Linked DNA regions of Oryzias latipes. The protein of the gene in region 3 interacts with the protein of the main gene of each other region in a pairwise test. Links are inferred from orthologs where the notes say so. Each region holds a gene or a part of one and is shown on either strand. Other genes may lie near its edges. The genes, in order: htt, receptor tyrosine-protein kinase erbB-2, gapdh and peroxiredoxin-1.

What was found.
Region 1: the proteins of gapdh (region 3) and htt interact in binary tests that used the Homo sapiens proteins (3 or more experiments, as listed by UniProt). The link is inferred for Oryzias latipes from reciprocal best matches to the Homo sapiens genes GAPDH and HTT.
Region 2: the proteins of gapdh (region 3) and receptor tyrosine-protein kinase erbB-2 interact in a protein complementation assay, tested with the Homo sapiens proteins (2 studies listed by BioGRID and IntAct, with this or other methods). The link is inferred for Oryzias latipes from reciprocal best matches to the Homo sapiens genes GAPDH and ERBB2.
Region 4: the proteins of gapdh (region 3) and peroxiredoxin-1 interact in a two-hybrid assay, tested with the Homo sapiens proteins (2 studies listed by BioGRID and IntAct, with this or other methods). The link is inferred for Oryzias latipes from reciprocal best matches to the Homo sapiens genes GAPDH and PRDX1.

Annotation. Positions count from the first base shown.
Region 1 is NC_019859.2:35,162,521-35,166,083, reverse strand, and holds part of htt (huntingtin), read left to right. Parts: intron 1-28; coding exon 29-219; intron 220-335; coding exon 336-450; intron 451-1,474; coding exon 1,475-1,688; intron 1,689-2,831; coding exon 2,832-3,039; intron 3,040-3,130; coding exon 3,131-3,293; intron 3,294-3,563.
Region 2 is NC_019877.2:7,422,761-7,426,918, reverse strand, and holds the start of receptor tyrosine-protein kinase erbB-2, read left to right. Parts: upstream 1-1,357; 5' UTR 1,358-1,587; coding exon 1,588-1,660; intron 1,661-4,158. UniProt on the Homo sapiens protein: Protein tyrosine kinase that is part of several cell surface receptor complexes, but that apparently needs a coreceptor for ligand binding. Essential component of a neuregulin-receptor complex, although neuregulins do not interact with it alone.
Region 3 is NC_019874.2:20,246,407-20,250,461, forward strand, and holds the start of gapdh (glyceraldehyde-3-phosphate dehydrogenase), read left to right. Parts: upstream 1-1,211; 5' UTR 1,212-1,294; intron 1,295-1,590; 5' UTR 1,591-1,616; coding exon 1,617-1,639; intron 1,640-2,651; coding exon 2,652-2,751; intron 2,752-2,833; coding exon 2,834-2,940; intron 2,941-3,022; coding exon 3,023-3,113; intron 3,114-3,211; coding exon 3,212-3,327; intron 3,328-3,408; coding exon 3,409-3,490; intron 3,491-3,580; coding exon 3,581-3,732; intron 3,733-3,810; coding exon 3,811-3,889; intron 3,890-4,055. UniProt on the Homo sapiens protein: Has both glyceraldehyde-3-phosphate dehydrogenase and nitrosylase activities, thereby playing a role in glycolysis and nuclear functions, respectively.
Region 4 is NC_019875.2:16,491,955-16,495,956, reverse strand, and holds the start of peroxiredoxin-1, read left to right. Parts: upstream 1-1,199; 5' UTR 1,200-1,324; intron 1,325-1,597; exon of another isoform or gene 1,598-1,659; intron 1,660-2,043; 5' UTR 2,044-2,054; coding exon 2,055-2,160; intron 2,161-2,255; coding exon 2,256-2,409; intron 2,410-2,496; coding exon 2,497-2,619; intron 2,620-4,002. UniProt on the Homo sapiens protein: Thiol-specific peroxidase that catalyzes the reduction of hydrogen peroxide and organic hydroperoxides to water and alcohols, respectively.

The DNA.
Region 1 (3,563 bases), on a different chromosome or scaffold from region 3:
AAGATGACGTTAAAATGTCCCTCTGTAGGACAAAGCGATCGCTGAGCCTGTTTGCCGCCTGCTGGAGACCACCCTGCGCAGCACCCACCTGCCCAGCCGCATGGGGGCCCTGCACGGCGTGCTGTACGTGCTGGAGTGCGACCTGCTGGACGACACCGCCAAGCAGCTCATACCTACAGTGTCGGAGTATCTTCTGTCGAACCTCAGGGCCATTGCTCAGTGAGCGCCTTCCTCCTTTTGAACAGATTCTGTCAAAGCCTCTGGGAGCCGATAGTCATGAGGAAACGGAAACGAGGGGGTCGTGTCTGATTCCGCCTGCTGTTTCTGTTTTGCAGTTGTGTGAACTTGCACAACCAGCAGCATGTGTTGGTGATGTGTGCAGTGGCCTTCTACATGATGGAGAACTACCCGTTGGACGTCGGACCAGAGTTTGTGGCTGCAGTTATCCAGGTAATGCGGTTCTGTGGGGAACCGCTGGGGTTCTGTTGATGCCTCAGAGTGACTGGAAACTGTTCACATCCCTGTGGATCAGAATGTTTCTGTTGTTGCTGCTGTGAAGGGAGGGACGGTTTTCTACCACATGTCTGACGTGTCACTCATTCAGACCGTGAGGTCACTGTGGATGCAAGAACTCACTGATGAAACCAAGTCAGCTGAGCACAGGGGAACCTCATTTAACGCAGAATTTAGGTCCTGAAATTGACTCCACAAAATCCACCAATTCATGGCAGTCAAACCGTCCCAAAAAAAAAAAAAAAAATGTGGCCACAATCTTTTATGGGGATCAAACAAATATTTCAAAATCCACCAATGAAACCAAATCCCCATGATGGGATACCCAAAGGAAGTTTTGAAACTATTATGGGATGGCCATAGGACCAACGGTTTGGCGGCCATTTTGTGGTAAAGTGCGAAATTCGGCGTTTTCCCACGATATGGGAAAATAATTTTGGTTTTAACCGGCTTAAGTTTACGACCTCAATCAAAGTCTTGTTGACCTTTAAACTCGCAATTTGGTGGAATTTTCCACCAAAACCACCAAACGGTGAGCTGTGTCTGCAGCTCACCGTTCCCTCAGGGGAGGGGTCAAATGCGGAGTGCAAATTTCGCACAGCTAGGTGCATGACAGATGGTGGGACTTTGACTTTAACCTTCCCCCCCACAAAAAAAGATACATCCTTAGTACCAGCTACACGTCTACACTGCTAGGGGTTTGGATTTATCGTCTTCTAACCACTCTAGCATTTTGGGAAGAACGTTGGTTTTAAAAGTTGTCGATTTTCAACGGCGTTAGCCTGGCGAGCTAGCAAAACTGTTGCAATGAAATGGGAATGATGTTTTTGGTTGTTTTGCTATTGCTTTATATACCGCAAATTATACCGTTATCGCAATATTAATCTCAAATATCGCGATTTTTCCTCATATCGTGCAGCCCTAGCTAAAACAAATGCACGTGTCCTTGTGTCCCTGTCAGTTGTGTGGGGTCATGGTGTCGGCCAGCGAAGACTGCACGCCCTCCATCATCTACCACTGCGTGCTGCGCGGGCTAGAGCGCCTCCTGCTGTCGGAGCAGTTGTCCCGCATGGACGGAGAGGCGCTGGTGAAGCTCAGCGTGGACCGCGTCAACGCGTCGTCGCCGCACAGAGCCATGGCCGCCCTGGGCCTCATGCTCACCTGCATGTACACCGGTAAACTGCCGTCTGCCAGCCCTGACGCTGCGCGCCGGTGGAAACGCCGGCTGGTGACTGGTGCTGCTGCAACTCACCTTAACGCTCACCTGCATGAACATCCGCTAACCCCTCAGCGCACCGCGCTCTGTGTTTGTAAAGTCCTCCATCCTTCACCCCAGCTATGATCAGCTACAGAGGACGCTTGTAGACAGCAAATGTTCAAAATGAGTGACCGTGTTTGTCTGTAGATCTGCAGGTAAACTTGCACCCACACTCTCCGGTGGTCAGGTGGGGCTGCTGATGGTCCTCAGCTTAAACCTCCAACGAGACGAGGAGCACTTTGCTTTAAAATGACCTCCTCAGAAGAAGAACTTGGTGGAAGGGTGCAAGCCGTCTCACTTTACCTGGTAGCCCCTTTTTCCAAACCTCACTGCCCAAAGGTCAAAGAGAAGGGCAGAGGGGTAGATCAGGCCTTAGAAAAAAAGACGAGTGTCGTGCAGCAGACACACTGATTGTTCCAACGGGATAAACGCCGTTACACTGACACTGTGTCCTTCCCAACACCGGTGCTGAAAAGGCCGGTAGATTTGTGGGCATCGCTCCGATTTCAGCATCGGGAAAACGAATCCCAAACTTTGGTGCTGAGAAGAACGGACTCGCAGGATGTGCAGCCGCTGCACATCCTGCGTTTCTTCTCCAACGGCTGCTTCAATAACTGTTTACCTGTCTTCCAAGTGGAAGTGCAGGTGATTGAAATGTTCTCCGTTTATTTGGCCGTTTGAGTAAACACTGAAACTCTCTAAGGCGTGTCATCGCTCAACACGTGTGTTTGTGCGTTCATGTTTGTCGCCTGCTGTTGTTTCCTTCAGTGCACCCTACCTCTAACCCTAACAACGGCCTTTACTAACCCCAACTGCCCCCCAGCCCGTCTTTCTGCCAGCAAGAGTTGGCCAGCAGTTTCTGCTCTGTGGCGCTCAACGTGCACGTAGAAGCGCGTTTGAGGCTGCAGAGCAGGCTGGGAGGCCCTTTTATTTCCAGCACCAGTCCCAAAAAACCACAAAATTCTAATATGACTGCTGTGATGAGTGTCCTGACCCCCACTCTAACCTGTACACGCTCCACCGGTGCCGCCGGTGCCACCCACCCCTCTGGTCTTCTCAGCGGTGCTTACGTCGGGCTCAGATGGGGTTAGAGGTCAGGTTGACTCTGCTGTAGCGGAGGCGGCGGCCGTCATGGAGGGTCATGTTGGTTTCTCCTTAGGCAAGGAGAAAGCCAGCCCCGCCAGCAGGCCTGCCCACCCCGACCCGCAGGCCCCAGACAGCGAGTCCATCATCGTGGCCATGGAGCGGGTCTCCGTGCTCTTCGACAGGTACGCAAGCAGACGTGCACGGCCGCAGATCGCCCTCACGCCCGTCCGCTCGTCACTTCTGCTCACGAGACGGCTTTTCCTGTCGCTGCAGGATCAGGAAGGGTTTTCCCAGTGAGGCCCGGGTGGTGTCCAGGATTCTGCCCCAGTTTCTGGACGATTTCTTCCCTCCACAGGACATCATGAACAAGGTCATCGGAGAGTTCCTGTCCAACCAGCAGCCTTACCCACAATTCATGGCCACCGTGGTCTACAGGGTCAGTATCAGAATGCATTTACAGCTGAGGTCCCGCTGATGTACGGCGGCTAAATTCACCGCTTCCTCCGAAGGATTTGACCCGAAAATCTCTGACATCACCAAAAACATCTAATAGAGAAAGGGAGGCCTGAGGTGGGATGGGCTGGAGTTTGCTCCTCCCACCTTGTGGTGTTCCAAAAATTGGCAAAAACTAAAATGATCTCTGCTTATCCAAACATGCGTACAGACTATAATGCTGGGGCGGGGCCCCTGGTTGGTACCTGCACCG
Region 2 (4,158 bases), on a different chromosome or scaffold from region 3:
CCAAATTAAACAGATGCACTGCAAAAATATCCCCTATAATTTAAGTTTAGTCTTTAGTTTTTAATATTTTATGATTCTGGTCTTTAGGATGATTCTATAGAGGGGTAGTTGGACTGTTATAGCTGTTAAAATGTGATATATTTGGGGGAAAGGTGTGCAAACATACCCACTTTAAAGATTTAAAACCCTTATTTTGGCAATACCTTGTCATTTAAATGCAATATTTCCTATTACCAGTGAAATATACATAAACAATTTGTCTTAAAAGGTTATTACATCACAATTTATTTTAAGAAATTTTACCAAAACAAGTTCTTCTAGTTCCAATGTCAAATTTGTTTTCCCTTATAACAAGAAAAGAACTTCTACTTTTCTGTATTTTCAACTTGTTTAGAGATACATTTTTTTCTTCCATTGCTTGCCCACTGAAGATTTCTTTAAATTTGTTCCAGAAGTCATTATGAAAGTTTAGCCACTCTAGTGAATCAGTAAATGGTGAGATACAGAGATGTATGAGTCTATGCACTTGGGGAAAGTTTGGAAATAGAGCAGGAAAATTGTATTGTGTGCGTGTCTGTGTGTAAATACATATATGTGGGGGGGTTTTTTGGACAAAGCACAAGAAATGTTAGCCCCCAATAGACTGAAAACAAAAAGGATAACAAGCCTGAGAACATCTCACAGGATCAAGCATCTCCTTGAGATGCTACTGCTAAATCCTCCATAAACAACAATAATTACAACATAATCCAACATCTTGAAGTTTGTTGACAAAGACAGTCTGATCTAATTTTTTGGTATTTCTTGTATCATGGAAAATTTGGAGAAAAAAAAGTCCTGAAATATTGACTATTTCCCATATGTTATGATTTAAATTCAAATAAATTTAAAAATCTGCATTTGATACCTTCTGGGATTCTGGGGTGCCAGGAAGATCTACCATTGAAAATGCAAGGTGCCAAGTTGGTGAAGGTAGTAGTATTATGGTGTGGAAGTTTTTATTTTATTTTGTTGTTCCAACAAAAATGATTTTTAAACACTTCAGCACATTTTTATTTTAGAGAACTTTAAGTTCTTTTGGCAGTGTTCTAACATGATGCTCAAAGCTACAGCCTCATAAAGATGAGCGTTTAGAACACTTTTCAGATACATTTCAGTTGGAAAAAAAACATGTTTGAGTAGGATACATAAATTTGACCAATAAATAAATAAACATATATATATTTGTATGACAGAAGGAATCCATGCATTACAGTCTTTAATGTCACATTGATAAGCGTGTAGTGAGTTTGAGGTCTGCAGACAGAAATCTGTGATTGTGGGCGGAGTCAGAGTGCCACTCCTCGCGCAGGCCTTCACGGGAGCGCGCTTGTCACACTGTTACTACCAACAGTCCGAGTTCGGAAGTCTCCGTGGATAGGAAGAAGGGCAGCAATTTCACTAAGGGAGTCGAGATTAAAGCTGCTATTATTTTAAGGTCTAATATTTTAAGAAGGAAAAGACCTATTGTGTTTTTTTTGTCGGCTACAACGAATATTAGACAGACCTAACTCTGGAATATGGACTAAACGCGCCGGGTGCGAGCAGATGGAAGCCGCGAGAAGTTTGGTGTTTATCGGAGCCGTTCTGCTCGGAGTGCCGGGCGTTTTGGGCGGAGAAGGTGGGTGACTTTTGTCGTCTTTTGCGCTCTCACGGTTTGGGAACGCGGACATACTAGACCCCGTTCGAGTTGTGTTCGTGTGGACGTGAAGTGTGAAGTCGACGCGGGTTCCTGCATTCCTCGTACGTGATTTCGTCCTCCCTGCGGAGATTCATGGGAGTTATGGAGCGCAGATAAGGACAAAATTCCCACCTGTCAAAAAGTAGCTTCGCTAAAAGCTTTCAGTTTGAATTTCAATTACAAACTTACACTAAATTGAATAAAGAGAGTTAAAGCCACATAGTTGGGCAATAAACTCGAGAACTGGTGTTGAGATGCAGCAGAGCAGTGTTGGTAAACAACAAACAAACAAACAAACAAAAGCTCTGTGTGCAGAAGATCATCATGACTATGTCAATTATTCACTTCTGGCTCCTAAGGGGACATTGTCTGATAGAGGGCCACTTATCACACTTGGAGCTTGGAGTGCATGCCAGTAAAGTAAGAGCTAACTAACTGAAAGTGCAAATAAGAGCAAATTTGCAAAATGCAAATCAAGATTTCTTTTGTTTAAAGCCAAACCTGAGGAGTTTTTGGATTTCTTCATGTTGCAGAAAGTAGCACCGCTCTAAACTATTTGTTTCATTGTTTTTCACATTTCATATACCAATTATATAAAGTCGAAGAAAAGGAGTCAGATTTGAAAAACTCCAATATCATTTTTTATTTCTGCAAGAAAACCACAGTTTTCATGATTATTATTATGAACTAGTTTAATATCTGTTCTAGGAGGATTTAGCAATATCAATAAACATGTAAAACCTTTGCACAGACTGAGACTATGTGCAGACTTTATTAAATTGCCAGTTTTTGGGGTTAAAAACAACAAAAAGAGCCATGAATTTTTTTTTTTGGACTTTGATTACCAATTTCCAGCTCAATTAAGTTGAAAGACGAAATCCTTAGAGCACAAACAATACTCCTGTTTTATTAGCTGCCCCCGAAGCACTACCACTAATCGGACACACGCAGGAACAAAGCCAGTAGTCACAGGTGAAGTCATTTCTGAACGCGACAGCATTGTTGGGGGGAACAGGTTGGTGCACTTTAGTCTGCAGTGTTGATCTCTGAAGCATCGGACCTGTGCCGGAGTGCTCTGACTGGTTCCCAGAGTTAAGCAACATGTTATGCCCAAGTGTTGACTTCCAGCCTTCTTACTTTCATTTGTTATGTCACTCACACGTGTGCACAGCCCCTCTATGCAGGATCCTTGGTGTGAGGCGATTGCCTCAGTGGACGCACAGTTCACGCCCTTGTCATATTTTAGCGCACCTCAAGGCAAAGTCTATTTGAATTGACGCTAGTTGCAGGTTAACTCTGCCCGTCTAGACTGTTAGTGACCTGACCCACTCTGACTGAGATCAGGATGGTCGTTCTCTAAAAAGGCTCCGCTCACCCTCATGTTTTTCAGAGGAACGTCCGTTTTTTGGCAATAAAAAACTTTTAATTCAACCAATCAAGCATCTTATTGTTTTAATATTATTTTGCATCTTAACCTGGGCATTTAACACTAAGACACTATCATTTTTTTCATGTAAACCTTTTAAAGGCTGTGTTTGAAGATCAATTTGTTTCAATTAAAAAGACAATTCAAAAATATGAAATTCCTCGATTTAATTCTTTTTATAAGAATGTATCACAAATTATCTGGAAAAATGTATCAAATTTATTCGTTTCTATTGTGAGATTTCACAATATTATGATCAAAGGTTTTACTTTTGGTCACTTCATCACTAAACAACTTATTTTAAAACAAAAATTTGACCAGTAAAATGACATTTAATCAATTGTAATGAATCCTATCAAAATTTAGAATTTCTTATCAAAGACTTTACCAATAATCACACTAAAGTTCTCACTTCAGCTCAGGTTATATCTAAAATGCTTTTTTACTTGGAGGGAGATTTGTCTATATTATATGTTGTCATTATTTGTATAAAATGCTCAAATTGCCCTTACCCTACATAAAATGTTTGCATGTCAGTGTTATTTTATTGCATGTATGCAAAATGTGCGTGTGTGTGTTTTTTTTTTAAAGATTTTGTGCATGAATGGTTTCCCATAAGCTCAACTCTCATGTTCAGACCCGGCATTGGAGCAGCTAAATTTAAAAAGAGGACTGTGATGCGTTCACTAATAATAGTCAGTGGTGTGGATGCTTCATAAATATCTTGAAGGCTTGAAGCTCTTGGGTCTCTCCTTGTTGTCTTCATATAGATCCAAAGGTTAAAAAATATCATATTTATATGACTTTGATGCACATTTTTATGCCTTCAGTTTCCCAAAATATTGTCGGTCTGTAGGAATTTATTTGTTCTTTTGACCTGGAACTGAATTTCTATGATACACAGTACTCAGAAATCTGTCAAATTGTTTTAGCTCAATGTTGGTAAACTACATTGACTGTAGGTCTGCATGATATGAGGAAAACTTGCAATATTAGTATTCAATATTGTGAT
Region 3 (4,055 bases):
CGAGTCAGTATGAACACAGAGGACTAACGAGTCCAATTTATGTCATGAAATGTTTCCATGTTTTTCTCTAAAATCAATGCATCAGTTTCGTTCCGACTCAAACGTCGAGGTGCTTGAACTGTTGTGAAACAGACAAAAGAAGATCACCACGAGGCAGCACTTGCAGCACTGAGTATATCATGGATCATGAGTTTGACTCGCTGCAATCTAATCTTAGCTTGACCTTTGCGTCCCTTCTTTGACCTTAAGCTGTAAAGCGGCGGCTGGGACTGGCATGCTTGCACTCGGAGGGGTTGTGATAGTTCAGCTATGCCAGGACCACTGGACGTCTGCCACCAAACCCGCCGTTGCTGCTCAGCTTCAGAGCAGAGAACCGTCTCTGCAGCCTGCTGAAACATGCAGAGGAAATCTAAGCGAGCGTTTGTCGGGTCTGGTCTGCTTGTGCAACACGTGGGGAAAATCTAACACCGTAATCTTGGGAGATCTTTTCTTTCTGATGTCAACATTGTTGACAGAACAGGGAGTCAAAAATAGACTTCGGAAGGCAGCTGGCATGCCTGAGCCTTGTTGTGTTTTGAGACTGGTGAAGAAAGCAAAGATTATTAATCTCTAAAAGATAAAATGTGCTCTTGCAGATTCCTTAGCTGCAGCACTTTCAAGATAAAGTTTTACTATAGAGCCGTTTCCAAATGTCCACACAAAAGTCACAGTTCAGGTGAGCAAACTGACTCCGACAAGTTCCTCTGCACGACTCAAGTTGAGCAACTGAGTTTCAACTTTTGACTTGAGCTGAGGGGATAAAACGGCAGAAAAAGAGGCACGGCAACAGAACCATTCAAGTGAAGGGTCATGGTCTTTGAACATTAAATGTCAGCGTCACTAAGCCAGAGATTTGATCCCCCATTTGCTCTCTCCATGTGTCTGCATTCAGTGAGAAGGTCAGCAGGGACCCCTCTCTTTTTTCAGCTGGAGGATCTAAATCAGGACCTCCAAATGCTTCAGACTAAACTGACAGCACATATTTTGAATTAGAATAAATGCTCTAAAGAGTTAGGACTGTAATTAAAAGTTAAATATGAAGAAGAATTGAAAGGAGCTTGACAAAAATGGGATTTCAGAGCCTGTGTCTGAGCAGCTAACGACCTTGACATTCACAGGGGGCGGGGTGAGGATCGGTGACCATTAAGGGGTGTGGCTTTGTCCTGAGGGGGCCATCATAAATACTCCCAACCAAACTTTGCTCTTCCCCACTCACACCCGGAGTCGCAAGACAGACAGAAGCGTCTCACAAACGGTAAAGGCTTCAGCTGTTTCTGGCAGCATGACTCTTTCATTGAAATCACCTGGAGACAATTGATGCAAAACAGTCACTTTGCTTTGTTTCTGCTTGATTGAAGCTGTTTAGAAAGTTGTAAAGTGTCATGGAGAAGTTGCAGCAATCAAAGTGATCCAAAAAAAAAGGACTTGCATGAATGTTTGAGGCCTTCTGCTCATCTTTCTGCCCAAATGATGTGTGATTTTAAAAAAAATATTTGTTGCATAGATTTCTAAAGGATGTTTTTTTTAAATTGTTATTCTTTAATCTCACAGAGGACTAAAGATCAACCCAGGCTAAAATGGTGAAAGTTGGTATCAATGGGTAAGAGCTTTTTCTCAACACTTCAAGCTCACAATGCCACATTGTTCTTGATGCACTTCAAATATTTCCTTTTTAATCATTTTATTTTTTTAATACATTCCTGGAGTGGTTTTGCAAAACGTTCCCTGAATTGTTTGATTTCTTAAAATAAGGATCTCTTAATGAAACTCTGAATGTTCAGACTAACTTTAGCAGAGTTCCAAGAAACCTTGAGGACACTTGATTTAAAGAACAAGCTCTGGTTTACTAAAGAGTTTTTAATTTTCCCTGGCGATCAAGACGTACATGGAGCTGAAGCAATTGGCATCCAATTTGAAGGTGGTGTGCAACATCTGAAGCAACAAGTGTCCCCTGATGCATTTGAACAAACCTTTGCGCCATCTGGATGTTTTTTGTTTTCTCTCAATCTCTGAACTTTGGCCTTTTGGTAGAAAACTTTGAGTTTGTTTCACCCCTTCAACTGGACAGACGTTTTCTTCTACTCTTGGAATTGAGTAGAAATGAAGCTGAATATCTCATTGGATATTGAACTATCACAATCCTGAATCTTTAGTGTTATCTGCCAGTCCTGCTGGCCTCTGTTTTAGACCAGGTTTTCAGGACTGTGGTTAAAAAGTAACCCGACCATTGATCAAACCGCAGCTGTGGCGTCATCAGGATTAACACACTGGCGGTTCTTCTGACTTTTGCCCCCAGAAAGGGGCGTGTGAGCATTTGAGCGGCATGCAGCCCCTCCTCATGAGCTCTGCCCTTTATCTGACTGCAGATTCATGTCTCCTGGGATGTTATGCATAAGCCAACGTGAAGGAAGGAAACAAAATGGGGTTCTTTCAGTGAACCGCGTTTGCTCGGGTTCACCTGAAAGTCAGCACTAGCGTCCCTTACTGAATGATTTCAGGTTATTAGGCATTGGCCCCTTTATGTCACTGCCACTCAGACATAACTGCACAGATTAGATGGCCTCAGGACGCCATCTAGAGGCCAGACTGATACTTGTCCTTCCACATTTCAGTTTTGGCCGTATCGGCCGTCTGGTGACCCGAGCTGCTTTCACCTCTAAAAAGGTGGAGATTGTGGCCATCAATGACCCGTTCATTGACCTGGACTACATGGTGAGTGAAAGACATTAAGTCTTAAATTAAATGGGGGGGGGGGGGGGGGGAGATCTTGTATTCAAGTTATTTTTGTTTTAAGGTCTACATGTTCAAGTATGACTCCACCCACAACCGCTTCAAGGGTGAGGTCAAGGCTGAGGGAGGCAAACTAGTCATTGATGGACACCAGATCACCGTCTTCCATGAGTGAGTTAATGTGCCAGTATTTAATAATCAGTGATTACTTTTTAGGACGACTAAAAGAAAGTGATTGGATTTTTCTTTGCAGGAGGGACCCTACTAACATTAAATGGGGTGAGGCCGGTGCCCAGTATGTTGTGGAGTCCACCGGTGTGTTTACTACCATTGAGAAGGCCTCTGTATGTATGCTCCCCTCTGGATATCATGATTTTTATTTATTTATTTATTTTTGGATCAAGCAAATGCGGAATAATCCTCTTTAAATCCCAAAATGCAGGCTCACTTGAAGGGCGGTGCCAAGAGAGTTATCATCTCTGCACCCAGCGCAGATGCCCCCATGTTCGTCATGGGAGTCAACCACGAGAAGTACGACAACTCTCTCACGGTTGTCAGGTAAGATGACTTTTAATCTACAAAAGGACCGTCCATTTTTGGATCTTACAGCTCTGACGCCAATGTTTCTGCTTTTCAAAGCAATGCGTCCTGCACAACAAACTGTCTGGCCCCCTTGGCCAAAGTCGTCCACGACAACTTCGGCATTGTTGAGGGCCTGATGGTGAGAGCAGACGCTCCATTAAACGATTTTTGCTGCTGAATGTTCAGACTCATTGAACCCACCTCCCTTTTTGTCTTGGTCTCTCTTCAGAGCACAGTTCATGCCATCACTGCCACCCAGAAGACTGTGGACGGACCCTCTGGTAAGCTGTGGAGGGACGGCCGTGGTGCCAGCCAGAACATCATCCCCGCCTCTACCGGAGCTGCCAAGGCTGTGGGAAAAGTCATCCCCGAGCTGAACGGGTGAGTCCTCAGTGGGTTTTTTAATATTACAGCATACATGCTGTCAGGGTCTTAATTAAACACTTAAAATTTCTACAGCAAACTGACCGGCATGGCCTTCCGTGTGCCCACTCCCAATGTGTCGGTGGTTGATCTCACAGTCCGCCTGGAAAAACCAGTGAGTGACCACAAATCCTTTTATTTTTCCTTCATATGGATTTATTATTATTATCCATATTATTATCACCAGGGATTAAGATGGAATCTCTTAATAAAATTAATCTGCAAAACTGTACAGTTTCTCAGATTTTATTCACTTTCAACATCTACCTTGTGGGCTCTTA
Region 4 (4,002 bases), on a different chromosome or scaffold from region 3:
GATCACACGCCCTCATTATGCAGACATTAGGATGAGAAAGGGGATGAATGCAGGCCAGCGTTTGATCACTGGCTCAGAGTGCTGCTTCTAAAGGGGGTTATTGTGTTTCTCCCTCCAGTCTGGTCCTTGAAGTAGCGCTATGGCAACAGCCTGCAAAGATGCAGCTTGATTATAGCTGAAGACGGAGGGATGCTTCTGCCATGACAGAGAAAATACACAGAAGAACTCTTTCCAACTTTATATACACTATTGTTTACTCTACTGTGTGTAGTCTTATTATTATTATTGTTTGACCTCCATTGAGTTGTTTCCCCCTTTTGAGATAATATCAATCATGAGATCTGTGGTCATATGAACATTAAGTTAGAGTAAATGAGATCAGCTTCTGGGCAAAACAGAGAAATCTGAACGTTAGCATTTCACAATTCATACGCATCATCGCTCTAGGTGTGAGAAAATCACTAAAAGTGAGGTATCTAAATAAAGAACTAGACATAGGTTAATCATTTGACAAGACTGAATGATTCACATGAAGAGCAACCACTTAAGGATTATGCAGATCTATTTTTGTTAAACAGAAGACATTTTGTTGTTTTTCTTTACCTTTTTTGCTTTTATTTAAGCGTTTAGGGCTTGTAATTAAACAACAAGAAACCTCTTTCTGTGCGAGACAGTGTGTACATTATGTGTTCTGTTCCTTCCAGTAAATATTACAGAGGAGAGGAAAGCAGGAAATGAAAAAGATAAATGACTTTGGCAGCAATCTGGATAAGCACACAGTGTTGCAATAAAGTGTTTGAAGGAAGGGAGTGAGATTTTCCAGAAACTGCTTAAGAAAATATAATATCGTTGGCAAGAGAAATGCAGCTTAAAATACCCTGGTTGAAATATAACGTCTACAAGACTTTTCCATACCGGGAGTTTTTTTGTAAGGGCATGGCCAAAGTAGAAAAAAAGGAGAGGAAGAGTTTAAGAAATATGGATAAACGAAATGTATACTTGACAAAAGTTATGAGAAAAATTGAGAAAGCTACCAAACGCTGTTTTTCCCCTCGTCTGTGTTTTTAAAACAAATTAATGGCTTCATAAACTAGAGATGTTAGAAAAAAAGAGGCATCTCTCTAGCTTCCTTTTCATGAAATAGCAGTTAAAAAGTGCAGAGTCATGCTGAATGCTTCATTTCTGGAAATAGGGATCAAGGAAAGGTTCTGTTCTTGTTCGGTCGATGTTATCGCGAGATTTCTGGGCTTTATAAAACCTCCTGATAGCGCACTCGAGCCCGCACGTTCGCTTCTGACAGTTGGTGTGGCGTGATCGCTAAGAGGTGAGTACCATAATGCCTTCATCTTACCACCCCCCCCCCCCCCTCTCGTTTACTTGTGTTTTTAAAGGTTTTTTTTTTTTTCATACAGTTAAACCCGGAAGTTTTCAGTTCAACAAGTGTCTGTTTATTTCCGTTCGGGATTTGATTTCGTGTGGAAAATCAAATAACCAGATTTTTTATAACTTTTATTTCCCCATATTATATTAAATGAATTGGGTCTTAAGACTAACACTTTTGGGCCTCTAAACGTTTTCTTTCTTTCTTTTTTTTAAGCGTTGTGGGGCGTGAAAACCTCTCTGTTCCCCAAAACGGGGCGATCTTCTTTCCCACCAAAAGTAAAACATTTAACTTTGTCTCCCACATGCGGAAATGTAAACTAAAAGAGGCGCTCGTAAGCTGTAATAAATACTAGTTTAAGTGGACACTGTCTAAATAACATTCCAACTCTTTTTCAAACCATTCTCTCATTTGACGCTTTTATTTTGAAAAACCCACTTCATTGATCCAGTTCATTATTTTGACTTTTGTATCATGTTCTTTCTAAATGTTGTTATATTTCACGTATCCAGTTGATTATGCATTACGTTAAAACTCTTAAAACTACTACTCTTACTACTTCCTCTTTCATGGATGCATAGATTCGTGCTTTTTGTCTGGCAAACGAGGAAGGCTTTTTTTTTTTTTTTTATTTAATCCCACTTCCTCCTTCTGTATTTCAGTAAGGACAAACATGGCAGCAGGAAAGGCAAAGATTGGAAGCCTGGCCCCAGACTTTACAGCTAAGGCTGTGATGCCTGACGGCCAGTTCAAAGACCTGAAGCTGTCAGATTATAGAGGTAAAAGCCTCAGTCTATCTTGTAAACAATAATTAAGGCAGCGCAAGAGCACTAATACCTTATATTTTATTTTTCCTGTTTCACTCTTCCTACAGGAAAGTATGTCGTTTTTTTCTTCTATCCTCTGGACTTCACCTTTGTGTGTCCCACTGAGATCATCGCCTTCAGCGACGCTGCTGACGACTTCAGGAAGATTGGCTGTGAAGTCATCGCTGCCTCTGTGGACTCTCACTTTTCTCATTTTGCATGGTACTTTCAGATTTTTAACATAATACCTTGTGCTTCAACTTTTGCAAATAGTTGAAATCAATTTTTCTTTTTGTTTTGGTTTGAAAGGACAAACACACCACGGAAACAAGGCGGTCTGGGTTCAATGAAGATCCCCCTGGTGTCTGACACGCGCCGCACCATTTCCACAGATTATGGGGTCCTGAAAGAAGATGAAGGCATTGCTTACAGGTGACACAACAGAGTTTTTTTTATTTTTTTCTATTTGCACATCCCTAAATTAGACCTTAAAGTGTGGATGCCATGCTTTGAACAACTTTGTCAAATAAAAAAGCCCTTTAAACGCTGATTCTATTGATACCAATAGTTCGCGTCGAAAAAAATCCGAAGCATATGAATAATAGACATCTTTCGAAGGAATCAGAGATTTGGATCTGCCGCTAGAGCGCAGGCTGGAAGTGAACCCGATATGACCTGTGACGTCATGAAAGGCGTTGATTTTCGCAGTTCCGCTTCGGACAGCATGTAAACAAAACCGGTAGTCTTCGTTTCTCTCGTGTTTAAATCTGTTAATCATCAACATGCCAAGTCGTTGTGTGGCAGCTGGATGTAGCAATACATCTACTGAAAGTGTATCTGTGTATAAAATTCCCAAACAAGAAACGCTGCTGAAAAGGGGAAAGTTCAAGAAGGTGGACGGCGAAGGATTTTTCCCTCCAGATCTGCAGGAGAGAAGTCTGCGTTTTCGAAGGGACAAAAACCGGGACACAAACGAAGAATTTTGAACGGAGAGTTGGGAGGAGGATCTTGGCTTCTGAGTCGAGGAAAGGCGGGTGAGCTGGAAGCGAGCGAGCCGTTTTCTGGGTCGGAGAGGACGGCGCTGGAGTCGGGAGCGGAGGCTGCTAAGCTAGTGTGCATCACGATGGATCACATTGAGGCGAAGTAGTCGTGTTTTCTGTTGTCCTTGGATCCAACTGGAGTATTTCAACGCACTCAATGTTTTGCAAGAGAAGCAACAGGCCTGCAACGTTTTTTTTCTTTTGCTTTTGAGGTGCCGGTACCATGAGTAAACTAAACTGTGTGTGTGTGAGCGCGCGCGCGCGCACGAGAAAAGGTTTCAAACGGGTTCAAACGGGTAAAACTGTTAATGTTCCACAGTTGTTAATGGTATACAGTGACTTTGTTAACTAAAGAGTAGTAATATCTGGGAAACTTTTATTTTGTGACATTTATTTTGTAAATTGGGTTGAAAACCAGTGTTTACCTTTGTTTAGATTAGGCCAAAAGGGGACATTTTGAGTATATTTTAGGGTAAGTGGAGTAATTTAATTTTATACATTTTTTAGACTTGCTGGAGTCTAGCCGAATCTTCATGCTGGCTATCGTCATGATCGGCATGATCACTAGACCTACTACTTTCTGCTATATCCTCCTCACTTTCGCAAAAGGGTTCGAATCGATACGGTTGCAAAAGTGACTCATCATCATGATAATCTCCGCAACTTTCCTCTTCATCTTTCTGTTCATCTGATGATAAATCGCTAATAGAGACGGTAGCATCACTCTGTGCTTCGCTATCGGTGCTAGCCATGTTGTCTGCCTTGTCTTCCTTTC